Daphnia pulex: one gene and its partners. The protein of the gene in region 1 purifies or fractionates together with the protein of each later gene. This does not show direct contact. Links are inferred from orthologs where the notes say so. Each region holds a gene or a part of one and is shown on either strand. Other genes may lie near its edges.

Region 1 (8,204 bases):
CAAAACCAGGTGTTCCCGTTTGGTAGTCAATTGATTTTGTCTGTTTGGCCTTTGATTTTTTCTATTTTTTTCCGTTTCGTAGCTTGTCAATTTCTTCGATTTTTCCCTTGGTTGGTTTTGTGCGTGCGTGTAACCAGTCGTAATCGATGGAGTCCACCATGGGCAACTCTCGGACATCGCTCACCATTCTCACACATATGGCCGTCTACTTTGATTAAAGCACCTGACTGCTGAATGTCCCGAGGTAGCGTGAAAACGGAGAGTCTTGCCCCTTTTTGTTTCACAGAGAAAATAACGACATATAGCCTCGACAGCAGAAGGTTGAAAAATATTTCTGTAGAAAATATTATATCCTTCCACATAGAGGAATGCGTCATAGCACGCCGCCGTCCGGCTCCTCAGTGGCTCCGTGATCAATGTTGCCGTCCGCATTACTTTTTAAAAAACTCCACTTCTATACTATACTATATAATATGCTATAATAGAGAGTCCTTGTCACAGAGTCGAAAAGTGTGCGCACTTGTCACCAGACTTTCTTTTCTTTTTTCTTACACCGGCCAGCGCCGGCCAGTTTGGCGACCATCGTCGGCTGACGTGGATTACAATTTATTCGTACGAGGATAGAGAGAGAGCCTCACACCTTATAAAGGAACTGGAAGGTTTGTGGAGGGGGGATATGCGCGCATCAGTTCCGGGTGCAGGTATACTACACACTCTAACATGGTCGATGTCGCCCCGTGTGACTGACTCAAAAAGAACCGCCGCTCGATTACGCTTCTCTCCTCCAGGTTGTTGTTGTTGTTTCCTTATACACATTCGAGTCGTCTGCTGCTGTGAGAGCGTGCGGGAGGGCCGTCACCTTGTCCCTTTTCGCATTCATCACCGAGGTTTATTCGTGTTTTCTTATTTCTCGCGGGTTGATCGATGCAAGTCCGGTTTGTCGCTTTTTCTCTACGTCCGCGTATGTCGCCCTGTCACGAGAGACTCGGCTGAACGACCCGCGCTCTCAATCATCTCCTTTTTCAGCTCAATCCTATTTGATTTCTCGACTTGGGGGTATATTGCAATAATGTGTGACACGGATGACGATCGTAATCGCTCCAGGGATTTTTTCGGTGTAACTTATAAGGTAGATATTCCCCGTCTTCAGCAAAACTGCAGTAGCCGACTTATTGACTCATTCCTATACGAGTTTTTCTATTTTTTAATAATGAACAACATACACGTAATTAAGAACACAGAAACTTTAAAAAATTTTGCGAATTGGCCGGTAAATTTTACAAATCGAGTGTTTTTTTCCATAGTGTTTTACCAGTGGTTGCGAGGATGTATGTATGTTTATATTCTGGATGAATTTCCAGTATGAATAGACATGAAGAGACGGCTGATGAATTTACACCCATTTCCATGAAAAAGTCAGCATATTTTGGGCAAACGTTTTTTTCATCAATAGGTTTGGTTTTCATTACTCAGCCATGTCTATTCTTTCAACGAAATAAATTCAAAACTTATGCTAACTAAATCTTACAGCAAGGATGATTAAATGTGTATCCAAACACTGGTTGTAATCAAGTTAGATAAACTTTAAACCATAGCTCCAATAACATTTTATTACGCGTCACATCTGATTACTTATTGTTCATTTGACATCAAATCAGATTGCATTAGAAAGAGGCAAGGGAACTTTTGTTTTGTTCTTTTTTTGTTTTATTTTGTCAAAATTCTAATTTCTCGTCCAAAAACTACGCACTACGCAGTCCCATTTACTTCCACATCATATTTTCTTATAACAACAATCTTATCTTATAACAGACTTAACGACTCACTCCATAAGTATTTTTCAATTTTTTAATAATGAACTGTATGATCGCAATTGAGAACACTGAATGTATATAAGAAATTTTGCGATTCGGCAGGAATATATTCTACAATTAGTGGTTTCCTCATAGAGTTTTACCAGCGGTGGTAAGGATGTACTTGTTTTTATATTCTGGATGGAAATCCAGTATCAATTGATCCGACGGCTAGTTAAAATCCTGACTTGCTCATCAACATATTGTTGAAGGCATCGTATTTTAATTAACCAACCGCGCCTAATCAAAAAAAAATTGTGAAACCGATTTAATACTAACTAGATTTATAACCATGGATGATGAAACATGTGCTCTATCACTGTTCGTAATCAATTAAGATATACGTTTGAACATAGGTCCAATTAATTGTTTTTACGGGTCACATCTGTATAGTTACTGTTCATTTGTCATCTTAAAATTGATTTGCAGGATAGAGGCAAGAAAACGATCCAATTAATATTTTTGTTTTTGTCGAAATTTAAATTCCCCATAAACTTTTCAAAATTTGATAAGAATTTGAATTTCACATCCTCTTATATCTTATTACAGCGTCCAAATGGCGATAACACATGTAATGCACTTTTTCAGCTTTGCGCCGGTTGGCAGAAATAAGCTTCGAACGTGCCGCTTATTCACGTCGCGGAATGTGTTTTTTCTTTTCTCTCTTTTCGTGACACAAACTTTCGCCTTGAAAATGATCGGGGCAGCTATTGTAGTTCTAATCTCCTTTGGTATGTAATCACTTTTGACTATATTAGATATGCGCAGAGAGACATTCGGGACTGTTTATATCGCGTGATTTAGGAACTAGAGAAACAAAACAGGAGGTCGTCCAGGTTATTCTAGGAATCGTTAACTTCTTGACTGATGAACGGCTGCCCAGTAAAGATTCACCTTAATGTTCCTGCGCTCCACCTGCCAAAGCCCTTTTCAAGGTGTAAAACGTCGTTTTCAAAATGTATATCTGAAAGGAAATCTAACGCGATGCTCTTCATTCGTTTTTATATATTTTGAGGGGGGGGGGAATCATCAAATTGATGTACGATGGAAAATAGCCGCTCATATCGCAAATCACTCATCCGGCCGTTTAAATTTCTTTCGACTAAGCACCGCCTCGTGTAATGGAGGGATTCCAGCAGTTCAAAAAGTTCTGAAGTAGAAATTGAACAGTTGGCCCCATGTCCTTATCATCTTTACTTTATTGCCTATCGAAAACTATTTTTTTCTCTCTACAAAATTACCACGAGATGAGTTAGCGAGAGCGAGAGGCGCCGTCTGGATTTTTCTTCTTTTTTCTCCCGCACGCGCGTTCCATCATAATACCTGAAAGCTTATCGCCACATCTTTTTCAAAAGAAAATCTCTCCTTCGTCTCATCTTATTCCTTCCTTTTGTTTAACCCCTTTCAATGCTGCCGAACTGGGAGACCCTTATTATTACGTAAGAACGCGTTGAGAGGAGGGACCGGCCAGTCCACGGCAATGTCAGCCATAATCATAACGCATTGTGTGTATCGAGACTAAACTTGCGTGCCTGTGCGTATTTCTCCCGAACGCATTCTATATGATGTGAAACTCTCTCTCGGACGCCGAGTGTCGAGTTCCCTGTGCAGTGCACTGCACACACCCATCACAAACATGTATGTGTAAGGGCTATACGCAATATTATGAAACGCTTGTTGATTTAAAAAGATTAGAATCTCACAGCTCCGTGCATAATCGATGGCGTTGCTGTTTAGATTTCCACGGTCCCAAAGTAATTCAAACTGGCTCGTGAATCATATTCACAACAACACAAAACAACACCACCACTATAGTACAACAGCAAATCAAATAAAAAAGAAAGAAAGGTTAAGTTAGATGATACGATAGACCTTGGGACCGCGCGGAGCTTCTCACTTTACTTTTTGTTTCTATATAGTCCCGCGCGCAAAGCGCCCATTTTTTTATGCGGGATCTTTTTTCCCGAATTATTCAACGAATGGGCGTTACGGACGGTAGAAAGAGAAAAAGGGGAACCTGTCCAAAGACAGTGAGGAATGCCTCATATTTGAATATCTACAATACCTATATAAAAATCTCTGATCTTCTTCCAACTGATTTAACACATTCAAAAAATATAATACGTAAGAATAGAATTTTTAGCTACCAGTCCATTCCAACAAGCCGGTTGCTGCTGATTGTTGAAGACGCTAGTTTGGTTGCCTCTGGCGATGGTAGTCTGGACAGCAGCACTACTTCCGTCCATCGTAGCCATTCGTTTTGCTTTCTACACTCTGTGTGAAGTGGTTCAAATGTGTTCCAGTCCGGCCGGCCCAAAACTATGCGCTGTTTTCTCCTTTTTTTTTTCTTTTTTAAATTTAAAACTTTAAAATTGTTTATCACTCAATTCACACAGAGAAACGAGTGGTGTTGTTATCACTACCGGGTGGGCTGAAGAGTGAAGCAGCTATTGGCAGGAGAGCCGAGTTTTGAACAAATCGCCTCTCTCTCTCTCTTCTCTCTCGCTCTTTCACTCTGCCGTTTTTCTTCCATTCGGTTCCAAAAAGAAACGAAGCGGAACACTGTGAGACTGGCTGGCTGCTGCCGGATTGAAACTTTTTTTCTTAATCGGGACTGCGCTGCGAATCAGAGATTTTAAAAAAAAGCCGCGGAAGAACAAAACAAAAGTTTTTCGGTTTTTCTATCGAAACATTAAGTATGGACGGCGCAGTGCGGTCCTTGTTAAGACCTCCAGGATGGCGAAAGAATGAGAAAGAAAAACAAAAAAAGATGGTTTAGAGCTGCGCGACGCAAGGTTGTTGTTGTAGCTGCTAATTAAGGTGCTTTCCTTTATTGGCAACCGACTGCGATTGTTTTTCTTGTTTGGTTGCGTTCAAGAGAGATACAACAGGAAGAAGACAAAAGGAAAATGGCCGTGTGTCTGCTATGGTCGCGTGTATATCATGGAATTTCGTCAGGTTTGAGACGATTTATCCCAGAAGCACAGCACCAGCACCACCAGTGGCTATTGTGTCGTGTATATAGCTGCTTATATGTTTAATGTGTACGTAGGAAAAGGTCTGCACAACTCACAAGGTCGGAGAGTATTACAGTTTCTTTTCACGTCCTGCGGTCGTCCTCCCCAGCTCAGCTCACGGTGCTGCTGCGTCCTTTTGCAAACGACTTGGTGGATGGCTGTTGTGTTGTGTGACACACAAGAATGTCGTTTGTCGGTGACTTCCAATTTCGGCTGAATCAACAAACTTTTTCGGGGCAACACTATAAAAACAGGGCACGCGAGTTTCACAGACGGCGTGTCCACCACCAGAGACCGTCGCGACGTGAGTCCCGGAGAAGAGACTCGCAGATGATGAATTGCCAGCTGCGCTTCAACAAAAAGGAAAGAAGAAAAAACATTCAAGGCACTTTCGAATGCGGCGCCAAAACCGCTTACGACCTCTCATCGCCATGTGGTGACTGGCAACGAACATTCGTGTACGTTTGAACGGACCAACCAGAAACTTGGAAAAAACATTTTTATTCTTCATGAATTCCAAACGATTGGACAACCGTCAGATTGGGGAAACTCGGGAATGTTTTTTTGAAGCTAGAGATAGAGCTCTGACAGACGTGCTTGCTAGCTTCATTATTTAAATGAATGCTGCCTCGAAAGAAATTTTTGGCGTTATGAAACATTTCGTCGCGAATAATAGCCGAGACCTCTAAATCAATCAGTCCCGAAAAAGTTTGAGTTGGATTCCAGGAAATGTTGAGTTGACCTGGCTATTTCTATCCCGAAACGTGGTGGTACTGCTATAGTCTATATCGTGAAAGCTTTCGTGTGTGTGTGTGTGCCACTCGTCTTTGGTAATCTGCCATGCCTCAGCGATTATACGACCGGCAGTTTTTTAGCTGCCAATTTTTGTCTTTCCTTTTGCTCTAAAAATTGAGAGCGACCAACTGACGCCAGCGGCCCTTGTTTGGTAAATATCATCATTTTCATCCTTTTTTGTTTTCAGTGAAAACAAATTTATGAAATAAATAACCTAGGGATGAGAGCAGCAGCTGTCGTGGACATTCAAGATCGCTGTGTAATCTCTTGACGAAATGCATTCGCTGCAGAGTTTTCCATGTACAATTTATTTGTCCTCTTAACCCTTTGACTGATTTACGGCTGACCTAACATCCTGTTTTGAAAACCAACACGTCCGATGCTTGCACATTTCCCCTCTTAACATCATCAAATTCGAATTCTTTTTTCAATTTTGTTCGCTAGATGTCACCTCTCACCAGACATCACACACACACAAACACAAAAAACATCGAGAGAACCTGCCGTGATATTGAGCAGGCGACATTTCATTCGTCGCCACTTTTTCTCTGACCCAAATGCTTCGCCCTAGATCCCTTCGGTTATCTCATATAATTCATAAATATCAAAATGGGATTTTAATTTTTAATAATGAACAATACGCACGTAATATAGAGCACTAATGTTAGCTAAGATACTTGGCATTTGGGCAAGAATTTATTCTACATCAAATGATATTAGTACAAGATTTTTATCATTGGTTGTGAAGGAGGTACTATGGTTCATATTCTAGACATATGTCCAGTAAACGATATGCGGTAACGGCTGTAAGCGTAAAGTTCCACTTCACTTAAACCTTCGTCTTAACTTCCAGATCCAGAAGCACTATTTTAAGGCGACGAGACCTTTCTATAGCAATGCTAGACTGGAAGTTAATCAGCCGTACCCACCAATTAATGATAGATAAAAACCCTTCTCTTATTCTAACCAGATAATTCATCAAGAATGACTAAATACATGCCCAAGTACTGTTCGTAAGCTATTTAGTTACACATTAAACCATAAGTAAAATAAATATCCACTGCGCGTCACAACTAGATGCTTGTTGTTCATTTCACATCACAAAATTGCATTGCAGCAGATAGGCAGAAAAACGATTCATTAGTTAATTTTTTTGTTTCCGATAGGGAGATGCCTGCACAATTTTCCTTTAACATTATTACATTCGAATTCGTGTTCATTTTTGTTCGCTAGATGTCACACCTTTGATCAAGCAGGTCTTATGTCGTCTGCTGTATTTGTGCTGTAACTGTAAAATGTAAACGATTTACGAAAAATAAGAGTTCCATCACAACAATTACTGCTTTAGAAAACGTAGAATTTGAGCCATGACTGCTGCAGTTTCTTATATGAACGATTATTAATCCTGTTGAGAACAGCAATTGCTCAAACGGCGTGTGCCGGAAACGACTAGATAACAGGTGACATCAAGGTATATACATAGACTTCGTAGTCTATGGTATATACAAAAAAAATCAGCTGGATCGCACAATAATAGAATAATTTAGTGTTTGTTTTATAAATCTATAGTCATCACAAAATTTAGAGAATGCTGAGATTCCCTTTGTCACCTATACCAGATCCTTCACAGCCTCTTGAAAGATTGAGCCCAGGAATTCATCAGCAGATTTCTTCGTGGTTAGATCGAGAGGGGCGCTCTTGTGAACTGCTGGACATGGTGATGAAAACAGTGTATGTAATAAAGCTTGTTTTACTACTGTGAATCCCAAATCAAATTTCTATTACCTTTTTTAGAAATCCAGGAAGTTTGGTTACACAGCAAGGAAACTGTACGAGTACCCAGTTGTTTTCTAAGCTCTCCAGATTTAACTGCAAAATTGGCATTCTTGCATTTTTTCTAGAAAAATGTGAAATGTATGAACCACTTTACCTGCTCAAAGATAGAGGTACTTTTTTTTATCTGACATGCTAATAAAATAAAAAAGAAAGTGGCTCTATGAATTTCTCTATTCAGTTCCAGTTGTGATAGTAAACCATTTACCAGAAGAAACTCGTGTGAAAATGAACACAACAGTTGAACTTGGTTTTGAAGTTTCTTCTGATGGATTCCCCAAACCTACATTTCAGTGGTTCTTAAATGATGCCCCATTAGCATCAGAGAGTGCAACATTTAACCCTCTAGTAATCCCTACTTTCAGGTTTTTCCTTTTGTTTGCATTGGACCCATTCAAATTTGTTTAATCTTTTTGACAAAAAAATTAATTGCAGAAATTCGGATGCTGGATTCTACAAATGTGAAATTACTCAGCAGTGCAGAGATGGCAGTTTTCAAACAATATCCACTGGATCTTCAAAAATGACTTTGGAAAATTGTGCGCCTTTTGTGGTGACAGAACCTCAGGATCTTTGTACAGACCCAGGAAATGTTATCGAATTGAGTTGCATGATCGAAGGGAATCCGATTCCTCGCTTTCAATGGTACAAGAACGACTATCCTATTTCCAACGAAGTGACCACCATCTTAAAGGTAACACACTCT
Region 2 (8,251 bases), on another chromosome or scaffold:
TTAGATGTTATGGATAGATTGCGTCAATCTGGGGGTGATATTCAGGTATGCAATTTGTAACTGAATTTTTAAAAGACGATTTTTAACCTAACAATTTTATTTTAAATTGCTGCTTTAGGCACTGTGTAAGGCGGAACTGCTAGGAAAAGTTGTCATGACGCATTACAACAAAAAAACTTACCGAATTGACGATGTCGACTTCACCAAAAACCCCAGATCAACCTTCCACCTGCGCAAAGAAGACCGTGATATTTCGTACATGGAATATTACCAGACGCGTTATAGCCTCTCGGTGAGGAATGCTTCCCAGCCAATGTTAGTTTCACTCCCTTCACGACGAGATAAAAATCGAGGCGACGACCAACCAGTGTACCTCATTCCAGAACTGTGCGGCATGACGGGTCTCAGCGATGATCAAAAGTATACATTAACTCGAGCATTCAGTATTGATAATAATTTTACTTAATCATTTCTCAATTTTTAGGAAGAATTTCAATTTGATGAAGGATGTCGGTAATATTACGCGAGTTATGCCAGATAAACGTGTTGATGCCCTCATGAAGTTCCGCAAACGACTGGCCGATAATCCAAAGGTGAGTGTGGTTAAATATGACTTATTACAATCTATTAATGATATGTTCTAACAGATTCAAGAAGAGCTTAACAGTTGGGGTCTCGACTTTGCAAAAAATATTGTCTCTTGCAATGCGCGTATTATTCCTGCTCAAACGATTCAACAGGGTGGTAACAGTTTTCCAACACAAGAAGGAGACTGGAGTCGTAATATTCAGCGTAAGTTATACTTTACATTAAATGACGAATCCGAGTACTAATCAATTATTAATCGATTTAGGATCCAGGATGTGTGTGTCTGTGGAATTACAGGATTGGGTTGTATTTACGCCGTCAGCAATGATGCAAGAAATCACACCCTTCGTTAATATGATGAAGCAAGTTGGAGCTCAACAGGGTTTTAACATCCCGCAACCTGAATAGTATGCGACCATTTTTCTAATATATTTAATATTCAATTCATTCTTAAATTACGATTTTCAATAATAGTATTAATATGCAAATGGACCGTACGTCAAACTACGTCGAGGCTATTCGAGCGGAATGTGGTCGAAAGCAATTCAGCCTTATTTTTTGCGTGTTGCGTGCTGCACGAGCAGATACGTATGCTTCAATCAAGAAGATGACGATCTCAGAATTCGGCATTCCATCTCAGGTATCCGTTTGAAAGGGAATCGTAGTTGGCATCTTCATGATTGTTTAACTAGATTTGATCTTCTTGCACAGGTGATAACGGGAAGAAATATCAAGGGACAGCCCGGTAAGCTCATGTCAATCGCCACCAAAGTTATGATTCAAGTTGCTTCGAAGTTGGGTGCGGAACCTTGGAGAGTTGCAGTCCCCCAGACGGTAACTTTTCTCGATCGAGACGTTTGCTTCTTGAATTCTTAATTTATCTTTTGGCTATTATTGAATGTAGAAATGGATGGTTATCGGCTATGATACGTACCACGATGCACGTCAAAGAAAAGCTGTCGGTGCATTTGTTGCATCCATCAACCCGACCTTCTCGCGTTACTATTCTTCTGTGAAAATTCATGAAAACAATGAAGAAATTTCACCCAGCTTCAAAGATCATCTCTTTGGCGCACTCAAGTATGTTTTATTATGCTTTCTTTGTTCCGTGCAAAATAATATCTCTTTTTCATTCGCACAATTAGATCTTATTACATCATGAACGAAAAAACATTGCCGGAAAAAATCATTGTCTACCGTGACGGTGTCGGTGCTGGAGACATTGCGCGACTGAAGGATACGGAAGTGGCGGCACTGAGGGTAATAATGATGAGTGACGGTCTGTGGGAAGATTTTGAGGCTCGTTTTTCTATACAATTATCATTTTTTGGCTTGAGTAGGAGGCTTGTTCCGATGCTGGTGCTCGAACAAATTACCTCGGGACTGGTGTGTATAATCCACCCATTGCGTTCATTGTCGTAAGCAAGCGGATCAACACGCGATTTTTCGCCATGGGACAACGTGGAGCGAGCAACCCTCCTTGCGGCACGGTTGTCGACAATAAAGTGACGCTCAATGAGAGATTCGACTTCTTCCTGGTGTCTCAAAAAGTTACGCAAGGTACCGTTTCTCCCACCAGCTACAATGTTATTGAAGATGACACTGGAATCGCCCCTGATATTCACCAGCGACTGGCTTATGCTCTTACCCATCTTTACTACAATTGGCCTGTAAGTTTTTTTATTTTTATTGTCTATTTTATTCAGAATTGAATTTAACCAATTTGTTCATTTAAGGGTACCCTGCGTATTCCAGCGCCCATCCAGTATGCGCACAAGTTGGCGTACCTTGTTGGTGAATCAATGATGACGCAACCGCATGAAGGACTGAATCGACTTCCTTATTACCTTTGAATTACCTTTCATTTATTTTCTCCCTAAGTTTTGTCATTTTTAACGTATTAATTTGTTCACTCATAAGAAAAAAACTAAAAGACGACGAGACATGCCTCACTCGCACGATTTTCGAATGACGCCAAAAATATTTTTCTTGAGTTTGTTTGCAATGGCGGATATCGACAATGGAAGTGTTTTTCATGCAATTTTTTTTTCTGTTTCACCTTCATGGGCCATGTCAGAAGTGTGATAATGAACGCCCCTTTGTGCCATGTTGTATGTAATCAAGGAATGAGTAATAAACCTTTGTTTTTAAATGAAGTAGATTTATTGACTTTCGTGTGGTGAGTTTTTATATGATGAAATAAACATGAGTTGCAATGGAATTCGCGTTGAGATGGCATTGACGGAAAAGCTCTACGTGTGCAATGCACATAGCACATTAGGTGTTTCGAAAGCACTGAGGAAAACAAAAGAATGTGGCATCGCTGCTTGGCAGGCGTGGTCAAGCTGACAGCTGTATCGAGAAGAATGCAGGCCTGCAAGGCCAACAAGGGTACGTCTGGGCAGGATCGTCTGGGCTTCCTCGATAGTCAACTTTCAGGTCCGCAAAAGCCAAAAGAACTCGCAAGTCATTGAATTGCTAATTGTCCACTAGAGACACCATGCGGCTGTCTCTTTTGTAACCAAGGGATCTCAATCGTCCCACAGCGAACTAAATCGTTTATAAAAATTATTTCAATACTATAAAATGACTTGATTTCATAACTTGAAGCTTTTTAAAAACACGATAAAATAATATTTACGTAACAAAATAGATGGTTGCTAGACATCCAATAATGAATTCACAAAAAGTATGCATAGAATCAAATGATTAGAATGAACATGTCATTACTCGGATAATAGAAAATTTGAATAAAAGTTTTATTTCATAAGAATTAATTAAATACCTAAAAGATTAGACAGCCCCCAAAGGTGTTTGGCCTTGTATAGATGTCAGCACTGTACGCTGCTAGATGCATAGGTAATAAGAAACGAGATCTGGCAATCTGGCCTCTTCCCATCCCATCGACTCTCGCTGGCATTTTCCGCTTTAGCTACAGGGCAAAGCATTCTAGCAAGCGTACGGTGGAGTCTCAGTTGCTAGCTACACTCTTTGGTCTTAGTCGAGACAATTCGAGGCAGGTTCCGATTCCAACGGTCTCGCTTTTGTTTCTTTATCCAGTGACATCTGCTTATAGTTTATTCCAGCAGCCATGGCAGACAGAGAGGATAACGTTTACAAGGCAAAACTCGCCGAACAAGCCGAAAGATACGATGGTACGTAAATGTCATTTAAATGTAAAATCGAAAAAAAGAATGAAGTTTCATTTCCTCTGTGTCTCTATGACTGTGCATCTCTGTGGGTAAAACCGAACGAGACGGTAGGCGGCTTTGAAAAAAGGCTTGGGCGTTTGACAGACTTATGACGTTTTGACTTTTTGTCTTTTTTCTTGTACATTCGGTTGTGTAATGGGGAAATTCAGCGGCGTCCCCCCTCTTAGTGTTGGCTTGAATACTTTCGATCAATATGACACTCGTACTTGAGGTTCATTTTTCCTGACAATTCCATTTTATCAAGTATAGTATAATCTCAGCCATGTTTTCTAGAATCTCTTTTGAGGGTTTTTGTCGCAGTACGAAATAAAAAAAAAGTAATTCTGGGTGTGTGTCCGGTGTGTGTGTGTATCTCTGGGTGGTTTTCCTCGAAACCTACCGCTACGTAACGAGATGACTTGGATCAATGAGTCATGAGAGAGAGAGAGAGAGAGCAGAGACTTTGGACTGTCTCTTTGTATACTTGCTTTCCAATAACTTTTTTATTCTCTTTTTCGTGAAAAATACGTAGTCGTTTCTATTCAACTTGGGCCTCTCACCATTGCGCATCACCAAGGCGACGGATCTCTTCAAAACGACGCTCGGTAGAGTACCCCACCCTTATGTGCGTGATGCGTTGGGGGTCCTGGCTACGTTGATGAAAACGTGCCGTCTAAAAAAGCTTCTCTCTCTCTCTCTCTCTCGAGGACATCAAAAAGGAAACCGTTCACACAACAATGGCCGCCTGTGATGGTTAATTTTCTCTTCTATATTTTTCTCTCGACTCTTCTGTCTGCGGCTTACAAAAACCAAGAATCGGTCAAGCTCTGACAGTGGGCGGAGAAACCCGATGGAAAATTAGCCACCATTTTTATTTTTCGTCTTTTTCCTTTAGGAAAATATTCCAACTGGTATGAATGGGGCGTTTTTCTATTTCCACATATTTTCGAAAAAATAGTTGTCGCACGTGACGCGTCTCGTGCCTTTTGTCGTTGTAGAAAAAAAAAATTAGTTTTTATATTTTTAACTTTATTCCCCCCCCCCCCCTTCACGTTTCAATGATGGAGGGAAGTTGGAAAGAAGAGAAAATGCGGTGTGGGTGTGTCGCCCTAGAACCTGTCATTACGCCACTGCGATGTGAATCCAAGTGGAGAGCCTGTCCGTGCATACAACTCGATCGTCTGGTTATTATTATTTCCCTGAATTCAAACATGTACGCCCAGCTGGAGAAACTTTTATTTTTCAATTCCTCCCTTAGAAAAAAAGAGGACACACATAGTTTTGTGTGTGTGTGCGTAACGTCAACTCGGTTTGCCCCTGTACTTTTCCTTCCTTCCGCCGTGGGGATGCTGATGTTGGGGGTTATATGACGACTGCGACGTGCTGGATGTGTGGAGAGCGGGCGGAACTAGGCGGTAGCGTGTTTCCTCCCGTGGCCGTTATTGATCCGCTACTTGAAAAGTCGCTCGAGTGTGGGGGGTGGGGTAGACAGGGAGATGGGGGGGAAAGAAGGCAAAGCCTTTATGTCTGAAAGTGTATCTATCTTTTTCTGTCCAAAAGAGAAAGGGATCCTCTGACAAGTTTCTTTGGCTAAGACTATATGATAATCTGTTTGTTGATGCAGAAATGGTCGAGTCCATGAAAAAGGTGGCGTCGATGGACGTCGAGTTGACTGTCGAGGAGCGGAATCTGCTGAGCGTGGCTTACAAAAATGTGATCGGCGCTCGTCGTGCATCTTGGCGCATCATCTCGTCCATTGAACAGAAAGAGGAGAACAAGGGAGCCGAAGATAAACTTGAACTCATCCGCAATTACCGCAATCAGGTATGGATAATGTATTCAAATTTTATTCATTGATTTGTGCCTTTATCTGTTTTGTCTATAGGTCGAGAAAGAGCTGAAGGACATTTGCTCTGATATTTTGAGCGTCCTCGAGAAGCATCTCATCCCATCAGCCACCACTGGAGAATCTAAAGTCTTTTACTACAAAATGTAAATCGATTTTTGCTTGGCCTTTTTTTTTTCAATCTTGCGAGTAGTAGTTGGACATTCCTATTAAATGCACCGGTGGATTTCTCTCAAAGTCCTTGAGACTCGAGCGTCTGTGATTTCGAATTCTACTCGTGTTTCGCTTTGAGAGAAAAGAAAAAGTGTCGTTACTATCTCTACCAAACGTGTACACAATTTTATCGTACGTAAACGTTGCGCCAAGCGCAACTTTGTGTGCGCGCAGACATGTTGTGGATGGATGGCCTGGTATTGATTATTGACGATTTTACACAACTCCCTTCCTCTGCTTTTGTCGTTGTGTTATACAGGAAGGGTGATTACCATCGGTATTTGGCCGAATTTGCGACAGGAAATGACCGAAAGGAAGCTGCAGAGAACTCGTTGATGGCTTACAAAGCCGCCTCCGACATTGCCATGACGGAATTACCCCCCACCCATCCCATCAGGTAACTTAACTAACAATTTGTTGCCGATCCTCAACTTAACTTTATCATTTGTAGATTGGGATTGGCCTTGAACTTTTCCGTCTTTTATTACGAAATCCTCAACTCTCCGGACCGAGCGTGCCGGTTAGCCAAGGCAGCTTTCGATGACGCCATCGCTGAGCTCGACACCCTTTCGGAGGAGTCGTACAAGGACTCGACGCTCATCATGCAGCTCTTGAGGGACAACTTGACCCTCTGGACTTCCGACATGCAGGGCGATGGAGAAGCTGGTTAGTAGAGCAACAGCTAATTGATTTTTGTCCAATCACGCCAACAGGACTTGTGTGTGTTAATAATTAAAATTTCCTTTTTTAAAAAAATTGATCAAGGAGATGGTGAACCAAAAGCGGAAGTCGCAGACGTTGAGGACCAAGACGTCTCCTAATCGGCGATGTAATTTGTATTGATGTGTTTTTTTTTCTTAAGTCCTACATGATTTGTTCAATTTTTTCATTATATTATTAATTTTTTTTTTTCAACAAAAAAAAAAGTAATCCGGAAATCCACCACCTATGTTTCCTTTACTCTTATCTGTCTCCCATTCGCTCCCCCTCCCTCTAATTGTTCATCCCGCGCTCTTCATCGAACACTGGAAACTGCATTACAACAATTACCGAAACGGTTTGCATGGACACGTGTATAACTCCTCAAAAACAAAACAAACAAAAAATAATTAATAAGCAAAGGCTGTGTGTGGTTTTTGTTGTCATTCCCGTTGTCCCTGCCCTCTGTCTCTCTTTAATTTCCAATAATCATTTCCGTTATCTCTTGGATCTTCCTCGTCGTTTTATTCGTCGAAGATCCAGCGTGCCCGCACACACACACACACAGACGATACACAACACACTCACAGTTTCAATTTCTCTTCGGAATTTTTCTCTCTCTCTCTCTGCGATGTAGTCTGGCGTCACACAAGACTTCACGTGTAACCTTTTAAAACAAAAGCTGCTGTTGTCTTTTCAACTTTTCTGTAAAACTGCCGCGATTTCTTCATTTCCTCAAATTTGTATCAAATGGGATTGAATTTTCTACCAGGGGCTACTAGAGAGAGGAAAGCTGAAGAATTCGAGTAGAGGTAACTGTGGAAAAGTATTTGATTCAGTCTTTCCGCAACTAAATAATTGGCAATGGATTTTTTGAAAAGTAAAAAAAAACACGAATGGAAGAATAATTTCTTGGCTTCGTATCGCATTTTCCCCCCTTTACTATTTACTATTAGGCCTACTATTAAGTTTTTAACTTTTTCCATGTCGCTCGAGCCATTCCCTATTTATTTCTCTGTGGTGTCCAAACATTTGCTCACCATCATAGTTGGGAAAAAACCAAGAAGAAAAAAAAAATATTTGAATTTTGGAAAAGAATTTTTTTTTTGGTCCGACGTGATGTAACCAGTCTCCTTTTTTGCAAAGAAAAATAATCTCCTTTTCCTTTTTCTATCATCTGTCTGGTTGTAAAACAAAATAATCAAGAGGATGACCGCTGCAGAAAGAAAGCTAGGTCAAATACACGCGCGCATTCTTTTGTCCTCGGTTTCCACAAACAATAATTTTTTTCTTATTTAAACACATTTTTATTTTGGTTATGTTAGACGCATCATCATGATATTCTGTGCAGTGTCATATTCTTTCGGTAACATTGGATACTACAGAGTGGCACTGCCGTCTTGGAACATGAGTAGCGCTTGACATTAGTGCATCCTTGCACTCCACAGTTGACTCGAGCAGGTGGTTCTCTAAAATAATAGACAAATTAACTTAAGTTTTATCCATTTGAAAAACATTACATACTTGACACTCTGTGGGGCCAATGGAAAAGCAGCTCCAATAGGTACACTAAATGTTATCTCCCCGTCTTGTGTTTGTTTCCACGTGTAGGAAGAGACGTGACTGGGGACGGAAACAGAGGCTGATGAAGTTGAAGCCGAAATACTCGCAGCACAGGATTTGTTCAGTTTACTTTCCTTCTTCAAGAGAAGGC
Region 3 (5,612 bases), on another chromosome or scaffold:
AAGACTCTCGGAATCGAATCGAGGATTTTCCGATTTTGTTGACAATTCTTACTGTGCCCGTGCCGGCCTTGTGGCCAGAATTTAATATAGACTAATCAATAGTTATTCAAATAAGATACAAGAGAAAAATGTTTTGCTTTCGATCTCATGCTTTAGGTAGCCTATCACTAGTTAAGAATGGTTTTTCAATTAACAAAGTCTATCAAAATCCAAAAGGTAAAAAGCTTAAAATCATTCATTTTTTAACGCTTTTTGATGGATAAAATAAATTTTATGTTCGTAGTTTTCTTGAGAATGTCGAGTGCTTCTACATCCAGTTCTTCACCCCAAAAATGGGAACTTCTTGGTGCAATTTGTCTGGAAAGAACACCAATCATTGTGCCTCCCATGACCGAAATTGAACAACAAATTAGTGAAATGATTGAGAAGTTTGATAATATGAGAAGCCTCAAATCAAATCATGAACTAAGACATGAAGAAGACAAGTAATAATTTCAAATACCATCAAAGATTTTAATTTTAATATGAATAATTTCTTAATTGTAGGAAGCTACAAAAAATGGCTGCAGATGGAACTCAAGATGAAAGTAACCCAGATGCAGCAACAAGGCAAACAGCTCAAGACTTTGAAGATGCTTGCAATGAAGAATTTCAAAAATTTAAGCCTGCCCCAAGGACTACAGGTAATAATATAAATAATAAAGTTGACTAACAAGTAATTCATTGACCTACTGTAAACTAGCTGAAGATTTGAGTGGAGACCAGAAGTCCACCAATCGAAAGCTGGATAAGCATTTGCTTTTTGTTGTGCAAGAAAAAGACAAGAAAGTTTGGAAGCTTCCGGAAAGTAGGTGGAGGGAAGGGGAGACCTTACGTGAGACCGCAGAACGTGCACTTAGAGAATACGTGAAAACTCCTGATACGTCAGTGCGAGTATTGGGCAATGCTCCGTGGGGAGTACATACTATCAAATATCCGTCGTCAGTTCGCCAAAAGCTTGGTTTTACCGGTTCAAAAGTTTTCTTCTTCAAAGCCCAATTGCTTTCTTCTTGCACTACTTGTTCAGACATAGAGTATAATTGGTTGGGCAGAGAAGAGCTTACAAACAGTCTCGAGCCCGAATACTTACGTAGCGTAAGAAAATTTCTCATCGATGAAGATTAATTCATTAAACATAGTATTTGTTTAGATGCATCTTTAAATACACAAATTTTTTTCCTCTTACACATTCTACTATTACGAAACAATGAACGCAACAGGTAAGAGTTTTAAATCTGACGGAGAAGAAGACTAAAACATTGGTTTGCACATTATATTTTCATCAATCAAGATACTGTTCGATGTACAAGTATAGCATGGTCTCAAGCTAGTTCATAAGAGTGAGAGTTATGAAGAGGTTATCGATATAGGTAGAAAATCGAAATTCACTTTAAAATGTCGACAAAAAAGGGAAAAGAGCCAATAAGATAAGAAGAAGCAACAGAAATGACGGGCAAACTTAATAGCCCAGTAATTGTTGTCGACGTTATGGATAAGTTAACTTATCTTTCCGCAATCAAAACCACACAAATTGCTCCAACATGACTATTCGACCAAAGCCACATCTAATGGCAATCCCGAAAGCTGTGTGCTTGAGGGGAAATACAGTCGAAAATCGAGGTTAGAACAACATAAACGGAAAAAAACTGAAAAGAAAGCAATTTTACAAACTGCTTTCAATGAGAAATGAGATGCAATCCTGTCAATCCTAGCTGTTCATCACTTTTACTGTTTTGTTATCAAAGTTAGTAATGTGTTTAGGTTCGAAGTCGGCAAAAATAACTTGAGTCTTAAGAACGGACGCACCACTTTAATACAAAAAGAAAAAAAAAATGAAGAAAAATTTATGAAGAAAAGAAAAGGAGCAAAAGAAAACGAACGAACAGTGCCTTCGCCTTTTAAGTATGATACGGGGCAACGTAAGTGGCAGGAAAGAGGCCGCGGCGGGCGCCAATTTCTCCAGTCCACCAATGTTGATCAGAACGGTCTGTCACAGTTATGACGTCGCCTCGCTTAAATTCCAATTCACCTGGTTCTTGCGGGGTGAAATCGTATAGTGCCTGCACCAAGAACTGTCGAAAATTCACACAACAATTGTTAGTCAATCCTGAGCCTAAAGGCATGGAAAAAAGAACAACTGGTAACTCACCTCTTCAGGCACCATGTCTCGTAACTTTATATCCTGAGACCGAGAAACAGATGTGGAGCGATGGTAGTCGACCAGTTCGTTGAGCGAGTTGAATTTTACCACCCACAAAAAGAACTTCCCTTGGGCATCGCGAAGTACTTTGAAGTGCTGGACACCATCGCCACATCTGCGAGACAAGAAAGAAAAAATAGAGAATAGCCTATTAACACAGAATGCACGTAACAAAGTATTGTGTAAATTTCAAACTAATTTCGAACTACAAGGAAGTAGGATGATGGCTTCCTTAGCTATAAACAAAACACACTCATCCTACAACTTAACGGGCAAAAACCTCAAGAAGGAATAAATAACACAGCAGGGCGATGAGAGAATTGTAAAAACTAAAAATGATGCAAAACTCCGGTTCAAGGCACATATATAGTTGCTTGATTACGGACGGTGGCTCAGTGGTAAGGGAACTTGACGAAAAGGCCTAACAGATAGAAAACAGAATGTACCCTAGACACGCCTAACAAGGCTAATAAAATACCAAAAAGGATAAAACTAATTACTGAAAACAGTAGGACTGACGGTTCATGAATCACGAGTCACGACTTAAGCAAAGGGTAGTCACTGCACGAGTTCCAATTTTACAAGCTGTCTTTGTTTTTTTAAGGTAAAACAAAATAGACAATTGAGATTCATTCCACCTTTGAAGTGAATAAAATTGGAATGTAAACGGATGTGTGCGTCATCAGGTTGACTCATGCACTGCATTTGGAAAGAATTCTTGCGTGATCAAATCAAATTTCTACAGAAAACCAAATACCCATGATTCTTTGAGGGAAATAGAAATAAACTGTACGTTCGGTTCATTAATTTTCTATTCAAACGCGTCTTCCTAGTAAGGTAGAACTTGTATCGTACAGTTTGGAGAGCGAGATTATAAGATATTTGATTTTACACTGATGAAAGCCTGCATGTTTGAAATTCTTTTCACGCTTCAAATGTACGTGTAGCGTCTAATCAGGATATCTGAATGCAAAGCGATATTTCTCAATATGTTTTTATAATGTGCTATTTCTACATAAATATTTTGAGAAATCTTCCCGTTTTAGGCAGTTAACGACTTACAAGCTTAGTTAATAGATGTCAACTTATCTCATTCAGATGTTCTAATGATAAGTAGTCTGGTATGCCACAAATAGATTTCAACAACATTTGAGAATAGGCAAATAATAACATCAAACATAGTAGAAGAATTCCTATGGGGCATTTCTAAACTATCTAGAGCTCTTGGTTAAGGATTTACACTGTCTATGTTTCTAAACAAAATCTATCACATTGTTATTTTAAGAACTAGATAACATACTTAACAGACAGGGAAAAGTCTCCCGGTGAGCTCTCACTGACTCTAACAACAAAAGCGCCTTCATGTTTGTTGCCCAAGAGTTTCTCTGCATCAGCTCTGGTTATTCTTCCATAGTACCAACTGTAGAAAATAAAACAACAAGTTATAATCAATATGCATTATTTTATCATAAACATTTCAACTAGGCTTACTCATGATTTTTCATTTCAATGTAGTTACTAGGAATCAACCCTTCTTTTCCATCCAATTCTGCTCTATACCAATTCAGATCATCTTCCATATTCAGAATCTACATTTGAATCAAATGAACAGGTTAGAATATTGCTATAAGCAAAAATTCCTTAAATTCTGTTGAAAGCATCATTGCTTGGTTTACCTTGAGAACTTGCCCTTTTCGAAAACTAAGCTCATCTTCAGCAGTGGCATTAAAGTCATGTTTAGAATTGGCCTCCATCTCGAAAATAACACGTTTTATGAAATCACAGATGATAAAGTATTTCTTGGCAAAACAAGCTTCAGAGAAGGAATTTCCTTTTCAAGGCTAGGCCGGATGTGCACCACGGCTACGTTTATCAAGTGAAACGGTTGTTGGCCAATCACCAAAATGTTTTGACTTCGTTCAAAGTCGAATTACACTTCTCGAAACTCAAAAACGAATAGCATTTCCCACAAATTGTTTGACAATATTGACTATCAACTGACGTATCCGTATCCACGATTGTTTGATTAACTATACACTGTTTTCGGGGCCCGACGAAAGCCAGACAGCCATAATTTTGGGAAACAACTTAGTTCTTGGCTTTGACGCACGAGCGTCACCAGTCCTTTTCTCCCAATGGAATTTTAAAGGTAAATGCTTGCGTGCCTGTAAACGTTTTTTATTTTTTCTAACTATTTTTTTTCCAAATGACTGAAATTATTTAAAATATTATTTCAATTACAGGAATATACATTTTTTATAATACAACATAATAGATGAATATTTTAAGATTTTAAATATTTAAATTTCCGTCGAATTCTTTTGGAAAAAGCAATGTGGCAACGTTATCTGCCTCATTTGAATAAATGCAAATGGTTTTCAAAAGGAATCTCGACCCAGAGATTCAGACCAGTCCGGACTTGAATTTAGAAAAGCAACGTGCAGTTCCTTTTGACTAATTTTATCGACCAAACCCTCTTACAATCTTATACAATTATTGTCAGATGATTTTCTCTTATATTGCACTGTGATTATTACAAAAATGAAGATAACTTTATATTTAGTGGCCATAATTCTCCTAGGAACTGGTAGTCATTCTAGTTTAGTAGGTTGGATTTTAGGCAGAGACAGCTCCCCTTTTAACATTTTGAGTAGTGAAAAACAATTTGATAAGCTTATGGCTGTAGCAAAAGAAGATGATAAGATTGAAGTTTCTGAACCTGATGAGAGTGCTGTGCAAGCAAGGTCTGATATTCCATTTGAGCTGTCTGTAGCTGATGAAAAATTCATTGCCGATGCACAGAAATATACTGACCTTAGTCTGAGCGAGCTGGATGTTTGCCAGCATAAAGTAAGTAAAGTACTTTGATGTTGATTCAAAGTACAATCTCACTGTTCATTAATATTAATGAACTCGTTTATAGTTAATCCTTCAATTGAAGCAAGACTGCAATGATCTCTCAGAGGAAGATTTGTCTAAGTTGGGTGTGAATCTTTTAAACTGCCAATCAAGATTGGAAGGGCGGAGAGTCTACCCATGCTCCTCTTCAATGGCAAGTTTTCTAATTAATGTATCACTTCAGCTAGTTGTAGCTAACCAGTTTATATTTTTTAGACTTTAAGGGAATGTACTTCTGACATGGATTCCGACACCTGGAATGCCTACCATATTCTATCCAATAGAGCAAGATCAGTGTGCTACGGTGCCCGCCAACAACAGTTTAGAGCACTGACTCAAATGACAGTCAACAAACTCATGGCCAGTTCTAGTCAACAATTGGGATTCATTAGAGAGCTCAAGGTTGGTTTCTTTATTGATTTTCATCACAACTGTATTGTATCTTTTTTTTTCCTCACAGGCTGAGCAAGAGGAA
Region 4 (7,510 bases), on another chromosome or scaffold:
CAAAACAAAAATGATCGAAGTTAACTTAAACTACAAAATCCTTCAAATAAATGTTGCAAAGGAATGTACAGTTGCAAGCTTTTCCAAGGTTCAATTTCCACAACTGAAATAGGTTGAAAAGATAGGCACTAACTAAATCTGTAGTCTCACAGTTAGAAAGTTGAACATTATATTTACCCGAAGTGTTTCTGACAAACGTGAAGCTGGTACAGGAAAAAGAGACATTTTGGCAAAATGTTCAGCTGCTCAGGCCCAGCTCAGGCCACATGATCAGATGTAATTGCCATGTAGAAATTATAGGCTGTTACCAGATAAATACCTAAATTCACACAAATAATTAACACAGTCACATCCAAGAATCCAAAGAGCAATTACCATTATTACGAATAAAAATGTCAAGAAAGAAAAGTACGCCGTATTAAGAAGTATCCAATCCAACGATACGTTTTCAACATTTCAACATGCGGTTTCCAATCAGTGTCTTAGGAAATGGCGGAATTTCGTCTGGACTCTTGAGTAACGAAGACACTCGCGCCATCTAGCAGACATAATTTTAGCCACTTAGTGATATCCAACATATTCCTTTGGCAAATGATTACCTAATTGGCTAATTGCGGAAAAATTGCCGAATAATTAATCCCTAATATGGCCCCTAAGGTGAATGAGTAGCAGTACTAGAGCAACCAATTTCTATTCCTTTTCCAGTTCTTCTACATTATCTACAACCTGTACCTGTGAATTTATATCAAATGTTGTAGTTAGCTCATATCTGTAAAGGATATGCTGTGCTGGAACTCTGTGGCTGGAATGTTTTAAATTGTGGTGATGCAAAGTAGCAGTTCTTCCAGGACGCTGTTGGACAAAGTGACAACAGCTCCAAGACATCTTCAAGGATTTCATTTCGTCTTTAGAAAAAAGAGTAGGCTACTGAGTATGCTGCTGACTGCAAACTCTTGATTACCTTGTGTGATGCACAGGACAGATCTATTTCAATAACATTTGTGGTTAGTTGTAGTCTGTGGTTGTATTGACTTAAACCATACCTGTTGTAGTCTCCTGAAACAATAAATTGTTGATGTTTCTTCTTTCATTGTTTTCTGACTTTTTGCCAGGAAAAGAAGCTGTTTTTTTGCTGGTGAACTGACTGGTTCACTGGAATTTCAGATACTCATGTCAAAGTGTGTCGTAGTATGGCAGCTTCTTGTCGTAAAATTATTCATGAACTATTTCATCACCTTTCTATGCAAATCTTGCTTTACTGAAAGAAACACAGCACAACTTCTTCATCCCAAGCTCCCATTGCCAAAACATTAACCGCAAGGTTTTGTTTACGAGTTTACGTTTACTTTACGACATAAACGGATAAACCAGCGGTTGAGCGGTAGCCTACTGCCGACTGCCGTACTGCGGATCGGTAGACGGTAGCCATATTGTGTGGTGTTGCCAATGCCGAAAAAATAATGCGCGTTTCGAATATTTTAATTGCACAAACTGGCAACACTACACGATATCGCCGATATGGCTACACCGATCCGCTCAACCGCTGGCTATCCGTTAATGTCAAAGTAAAAGTAAACAAAACCTTGCGGTTAATGTTTCTACACCTCTACTGCAGCTACTACAACTGCGAAATAATTGAAGCCGTAGCGTTTGGAACTTGGGAGTTGGGATCCGTCTTTCGGTGGATTTATGAAATTCCAAAATTCGTAGTGATATTTCTATGGATGTTTTCATTAATATTTTTCATAATCGGAAATCACATGAACGGAAATTGAAATTGAATTAAAATTTTTTTATACACACACAAACAAACAAGTACACAGAAAATTGGTTGTTGTTTTAATGACGACGGACGAACACGATAGCGAACCCAAAAGATTCTTAATTAATACAAATAATTAAATTGAAAGAGACGGAGGAGGGAAATAGAAAAAAGTTGAACCAATATTCGATCCTATCAAATTTATTGATGCGTGTGTGCGCCATCATCAGCAATAGCTGATGCCATACCATTTTCGTTTTCCACTTCGATTTTCTATTTGACTTTTTTTATTGTATAAGTTTTACTATTTAAAAAAAAAACATCATTAGTTTTGCGTAGTTTTTTGTGCGTCTCGGCGGTGAATCAAGCGTTAGGAGCGGGAGGGAGGTTTAAAACTTCATTTCCTTTTTTGTTTTCCTCACCACTTGGTTTATCCAATGACAACTAAACAAACTAGAGAAACCACTTTGAAAGATGAGCCGATAGAGGCAAAAGACGTTGGCTGGAAAACCCCCCCAAAAAATGGTTAACCGATTAACCAGGAAAAAAATTGGTTTCATGGGATGTCGCCCTAAGAATATTTATGGTAGAAATCGAATAAAGATTTATACTGTAATGTAGTAGTGTAAGTATATAGAAAATGTGTCTGCGTGTCATTTTCTTTTCCTTTTTTTATGCGCTGGTTTCCTTCATGGGGGGCGTGGGCGGGCGGGGATTACATTGAAAAATAGAATTCGATGTGGATTGAGTGGGGGGGGGGGGTTATCTTTTCACATGTGTTATTACATTGTAAACGTGGAGTCCGTCGTCAGTTGTACTTCCCCACCCAATCATTAAAAAAAAGAAGAAATGAATCATTTTTCAAAATCATTATTGTTTGTTGTTGTTGTTTCATTCCCTTCCGGAATTGTTTTGGTTTTTCATCCGAATAGGCGCTCGAAACATCCGTGGCAGTACGGCTTGTCTCCTTGCTCTTTGAACGTGCCCTTCTTCAACTGTTTCAGGCAATAGGAGCAGACAAAGTGTTCCGGGTGAAACTTCTTGAACATGGCCGTGATGCACCGACCTGATTTTGTTTTGTTTTTCGCGTGATAACAAAAGAACAATAACAAACAAATTCATTCACATCGTATACAGCAGTTACAGTATAATGGGTGAATAGAGAAAATGAGGTTAAACGGTTGTTGTTTTTTCACGCAAGTGTTATGGGGGGGGGAGGGGGATGTCTATTAAAGAGAAAATAAAGAAGAAGAAGAAAATCGTTACCGGTAATCGGCTTATGGCATCCGGCGCAGAGCGAACCTCTCTTGGCGTGGTAATGGATCTCACAGTAGGGCATACCCTCGTGAACGAAGAACGATCCGCCCTGGAACAGCATGTTGCAATCCTGCAAGTTGGAATGGTGGGGAAAAAAAAAAAAAAATAACAATTTAATAATCGCATTAGCAAAAGATCCATATTTGCTTAATTACTAAGTGAGGGGGGGGGGGTAATTGTTGTTTTTAATTAGACACCCTTAACGTCACCCGTACGCCGTTTGTTGTTGGAAAAGAAATGCCTTTCATTGAGTCGCTTTTAAAAATAAAATGTTAATAACGACTACAAGGGAAATGGCGAAGGAGGAGCTAGCAGAAAAGAGGGTCAAGAGCCCGAGACTAAGTGATTGTTTGACAGCCAACTACTGGTCGTAGTTAGTAAAGCCTCTCCAAAGAGCCCAAAAATAGGCGAAAATAAAAAGAAGAAAAGTCCGCGCCATTCTGCGGCGAATTTTCAAAAACCCGAAAAAAAAATATAACTTTTTTTTTTCGTACGTGTCTTTTATGTTCTGAGAATAGAAAAAAGGAGAGTCGAGAGAAAGGATGTCTTTATTTATACGCTTTCGCCAGCCTATAGATAGTATCCCTCTTCTTCTACTTCGCTAGAGCGGCACCGGAGAAATCTCTTATGACACGCCATGCGTCATCCGGTCGTTTACAGTTCCTCGAAAGCTGGCTTCAAAAAATTTTTTTTCTGCTGGTAAAGATCGACCGAGGGAGGAGGGCACAGCTGTGCAAAGCGCTTTATTCAAACCCCCGGGTCCAAAAGCTTTAAAAAGCGATGACAACAATCAAATGGACAAGACTAGCGCGCAAAAAAGAAGCCAAAATACAAAAATAACGAATTCTAATTTTGAAAGAAGAAGAAGCTCAAAGGTAAGCAACTTCATCCCGGCTCGGAGCTTGTCTCCGCCCTCCCACGACTTGACTGATTTATTCAACCCGGCTCTACACACACAAAAAGAAGAAGAAACCCATTGCGTGAACCGAACCATGGGGAGTTCACGAGAATGACGAACTTGCCTTTTACTTTGCAGCGCTCATTTTGCGTAACGATGTGAACTCATCCGCATCGTTAAAATAAACCCACCCAACGGGTGTGTGTGTTGTATATAGAAAAGAAATGTGACTGAACTAAACGAACTGTACTGCTACTACTACCCCGCCAAACCAGTCCAACTATACCATCCATCCAATAGTGCATGAGCCTCCCCGCCACCGAAGAGTCGTTAATCTTTTGTTTCTTTTTTGTTTTATTCTCTGACTATATGTACCAAACTGGAAAAAGTAGCAGCAGTAGAGTAGTAGTATGATTTGCTCGTTCGAGTGGAACTCTTTTTTCAGGTATTTTTGGTTTTTGGTTTAACTTGTTTTCTTTCATTGTCATTTTGTGCGAAAAAGATTCATCATCGCCAACATACATAACAAGACACAACACACAAAATGGAGAGAGAGAATAGAGAGCGAAAGGGGGATAGAAAGAAGAAAAAAAGTCAGAAGAAACAGCCAAAAAATGAGCCAATAATAAATTTGTTTTAAATAAGAGGAGGCACTTGGGCATGTCGCGCGGTGGGTGTGTTGTTATTTTTCAGGACTAGAACATCATCATCATTTTTTTGGTTTGTCAGGTTTCTTATTTTGTAAAATAAAAACTCGGGACTGTTTTTTCTGGTGGGAGTGGCCAAAACTACTTCAAGAGGAGCGAGAGAGAGAGAGAGAAAAGTGTGCGAAAGGAGAAGTGAGATAAGAAGCGCCGTGTGTTTTTTTGGGTTTGTGTTTTTCTTCTTCCTTGAAAATTTTCAAACACATTTTGGTTTGTTTTTGTTTTGTTTTTTTGTTTTGGGGTCACGGGGGTCACTTCATTGGCTGTCGTCGTCGTCTTCGGCATCGGAACCGACGCCCATACACTTGCCGCAAACTGGGCGCGAGTCGACCGTGTAAAAAGATCCGCCGTTGAGCGAAACGCGACAATCCTTCTCGGTCAAGAGATATATAAGAATGTCAACAACAACAACAACAACAGCGAAACGGACACACGTTACTAATAGGATTGTCTAGAAGAATAACCTACCTTCCAGGGGACAACATATCTGACGTCAATAAGGAAAAACTTACCCTGCAGACGAAACAATTGGGATGCCACTGGCCGTTGAGAGCCGAGATGTAGCCCTCGGTGATGGCCGTGGAACAGCCTTTGCACTTGAGGGCGAACATGGCCAGGTAGTCCTCCTTGCAGTATGGCTTGCCATCCTTCTCCTGGAATCCATCCTCGCCAAACTGGCAGCCGCATTGGGTGCAGAAAAAGTGATCCGGGTGCCACGTCTGATCCAACGCCGTCACGCATTTCTGTAATGGAACCAATTGGCGACGCGGGGGCGATAAAAGAAACACAACGTCCGAAAAAAAGAAAGTTAGTAGGAACATGTTAGGAAAAAGAAACAACAACAAAAAGAGGCTGCCAACAAGAACAAGTTTTCGGGTGATGAGGTGAACCAGACCAGCTGTCTGACACCGTCGTCCATCCATTCATCCGTTTCATCAGTCAGCCAACGTGCGTGACTCTTGTGATGGCTTCGCTCAGTTCGTTCGGGGCCACTTAAAAGTTCTATTTATACATTCTGGATAGTGAGAGAGAGAGAGAGAAGAGCTCTCCCGTCCAGGACCAACTGGACCCAACGCGTGTGTGAAATAGGGTCGGAATTTGCCAAATCAATTGGGCCCGCGGTGGGTGTTGAAACAACCAGGAAAAAGGCAACAACGTACATCTAGAATGGGTCCGTTGCAATAAGCGCAACGGGGCGAGAAGAGGTGGTGATAATCGGGTTCACAGTAAGGCTGGCCGTCGCGTTCGAAAAAGTTTTGCGTTCCCAACTCCTGGCGGCAGTGGGAGCAGACAAAGTGCTCCGGATGCCACGTCCTACCAAGAGCCGTCACCACCTGAAAACCCCACAACAAAACAAAACAATACAAATTCAATTAATTCAATGGTCGGGTCAATTGAATTGAGGGGGAAATGAAAAAAAGTCGGACCTGCCCGACGATGGGCTTCTCGCAGGCGGTGCAACATCCTTTGGTGGTGGCGGAGATACCTTGTTTGTTCATGTCAGCCTGTTTGAATCAATCGTGAAATGCAAAAACGGAATTTTAATTACAAGAACCGATAAGGAACGAATGAAGAAAATGTAAAATCAGAAAGTCAGTAGTAGAGAGAAATGGGAGAGCTGGAAAGAGAGTCACCTGTAGGTTGCCGAGCATCGAATCCAACTGATCCTTGGGGTTGGCTCGATGGACTTTGTTAGGTTTGGCGTAGGTGGCGTCGCCGATCTTTGAAAACGACGCCGTCTCGATTGGCTCCGGAGAACCGGCCGCTCCGCCCTTCTATACACGCGCGCAAAATGTGTAAATCATCAACATTTTTATTTTCTTTCTTTCTTTCCAGCCTTCAAAGGGGGGAAAGAAAAACGTTCCCCCAAATGTTTTGGCTCCCGATTTATTATTCCAAAAAAAAAAAAAAAAGTGAAAAAAGAAACAAGAAAAATCCTTATCGTCAATAAACAAAACATTTTGCCCTGCCCCGCACGTTAGCCAGCTTAACGCCATCGGGGAAACTGGGCGGAATCATACACGTCTTGCCCATCATCACATCGCCAGTCCCGCACCTTTGCTCCCGTGAGGGACAGCGACGAGTCGACGATGATTCACCCAGAGTCGATAGACGACGAGTCCATTTCGAGTCCATGGCCCGGTGAGAGGATCTGGTCTATCCGTCCGTCTGTGTGCGTCCAATTCGACATTGGCAAAAGTGTTTTTTTCGTTCGCGCAAATATAAACACCGACTGTTGATACGAAACCGATAAATTTGACTCGACACCTACTCGACTCTTACTTGGTAACCCACTGGTGGTCCGTCCCAGTAGACGATACGAGTCCCGTGACCTTCGATTTTTCGGGACTCGGATCAACAACCGTCAAAAATTCACGTCCACTGGGAAAGTGGAAACGGGAGAAAAAAATCGAGAAAAAAGGGGTTCTAAAAAATTCTATTTTTAAATGGTAGCCCCAAGACGGAATATATACGCGTGTGTATAAGGCGAAGGTCGTAAGAATGCGCTAGAGCCGTCTCTCTCACGTATACATATGCGCAGTTGAACACATCGTGTTTGTGCCTTGTTGCAAACAGCATCCAGCATCCAGCACTAAAAAGCATTTTGTATTTCTTTCATCGTCACTTTTTCTTTCTTTAGAGTTTTCTGCCCGTCTCGGTTTATCATCAAGGCGCTGGGCAAAGGTTCTTTTGGTTTGGTTTGGTCTGGCAAGTCGAGTACGTTTAGTACACTTTAAGAATCCAGCAGAGTATATAGAACGGCGAGAGGAAGAGCTGGAAAGTCCAGAAAACCCAGACGCGCAACAACACGGCCGGCAGCTACGGTCG

The links.
Region 2: the proteins of breast cancer anti-estrogen resistance protein 1-like (region 1) and 14-3-3 protein epsilon purify together in Homo sapiens (affinity purification with mass spectrometry; 3 studies listed by BioGRID and IntAct, with this or other methods). This does not show direct contact. The link is inferred for Daphnia pulex from reciprocal best matches to the Homo sapiens genes BCAR1 and YWHAE.
Region 3: the proteins of breast cancer anti-estrogen resistance protein 1-like (region 1) and growth factor receptor-bound protein 2 purify together in Homo sapiens (affinity purification with western blotting; 3 studies listed by BioGRID, with this or other methods). This does not show direct contact. The link is inferred for Daphnia pulex from reciprocal best matches to the Homo sapiens genes BCAR1 and GRB2.
Region 4: the proteins of breast cancer anti-estrogen resistance protein 1-like (region 1) and paxillin-like purify together in Homo sapiens (affinity purification with western blotting; 3 studies listed by BioGRID, with this or other methods). This does not show direct contact. The link is inferred for Daphnia pulex from reciprocal best matches to the Homo sapiens genes BCAR1 and PXN.

Annotation. Positions count from the first base shown.
Region 1 is NC_060021.1:6,677,637-6,685,840, reverse strand, and holds the start of breast cancer anti-estrogen resistance protein 1-like, read right to left. Parts: upstream 4,468-8,204; 5' UTR 4,109-4,467; coding exon 4,001-4,108; intron 1-4,000. Other genes in the region: mucosa-associated lymphoid tissue lymphoma translocation protein 1-like, read left to right, coding at 7,161-7,163, 7,251-7,396, 7,460-7,611, 7,680-7,863, 7,934-8,192. UniProt on the Homo sapiens protein: Docking protein which plays a central coordinating role for tyrosine kinase-based signaling related to cell adhesion. Implicated in induction of cell migration and cell branching. Involved in the BCAR3-mediated inhibition of TGFB signaling.
Region 2 is NC_060024.1:10,586,501-10,594,751, forward strand, and holds 14-3-3 protein epsilon, read left to right. Parts: upstream 1-3,512; 5' UTR 3,513-3,679; coding exon 3,680-3,743; intron 3,744-5,403; coding exon 5,404-5,603; intron 5,604-5,664; coding exon 5,665-5,771; intron 5,772-6,097; coding exon 6,098-6,235; intron 6,236-6,289; coding exon 6,290-6,504; intron 6,505-6,597; coding exon 6,598-6,659; 3' UTR 6,660-7,047; downstream 7,048-8,251. Other genes in the region: piwi-like protein Siwi, read left to right, coding at 1-45, 119-420, 485-593, 648-792, 854-995, 1,063-1,228, 1,300-1,422, 1,493-1,668 and 3 more; INO80 complex subunit B-like, read right to left, coding at 7,871-8,006, 8,062-8,251. UniProt on the Homo sapiens protein: Adapter protein implicated in the regulation of a large spectrum of both general and specialized signaling pathways. Binds to a large number of partners, usually by recognition of a phosphoserine or phosphothreonine motif.
Region 3 is NC_060028.1:9,113,636-9,119,247, forward strand, and holds growth factor receptor-bound protein 2, read right to left. Parts: upstream 4,390-5,612; 5' UTR 3,994-4,389; coding exon 3,916-3,993; intron 3,829-3,915; coding exon 3,731-3,828; intron 3,660-3,730; coding exon 3,540-3,659; intron 2,355-3,539; coding exon 2,189-2,354; intron 2,112-2,188; coding exon 1,938-2,111; 3' UTR 1,299-1,937; downstream 1-1,298. Other genes in the region: 39S ribosomal protein L46, mitochondrial-like, read left to right, coding at 129-216, 284-485, 547-683, 743-1,164; protein brambleberry-like, read left to right, coding at 4,781-5,089, 5,163-5,291, 5,354-5,539, 5,598-5,612. UniProt on the Homo sapiens protein: Non-enzymatic adapter protein that plays a pivotal role in precisely regulated signaling cascades from cell surface receptors to cellular responses, including signaling transduction and gene expression.
Region 4 is NC_060022.1:1,455,996-1,463,505, reverse strand, and holds the end of paxillin-like, read right to left. Parts: intron 6,457-7,510; coding exon 6,316-6,456; intron 6,187-6,315; coding exon 6,109-6,186; intron 6,016-6,108; coding exon 5,842-6,015; intron 5,425-5,841; coding exon 5,194-5,424; intron 5,052-5,193; coding exon of another isoform or gene 4,938-5,051; exon of another isoform or gene 4,426-4,937; intron 3,150-4,425; coding exon 3,029-3,149; intron 2,829-3,028; coding exon 2,683-2,828; 3' UTR 1,778-2,682; downstream 1-1,777. UniProt on the Homo sapiens protein: Cytoskeletal protein involved in actin-membrane attachment at sites of cell adhesion to the extracellular matrix (focal adhesion). Recruits other proteins such as TRIM15 to focal adhesion.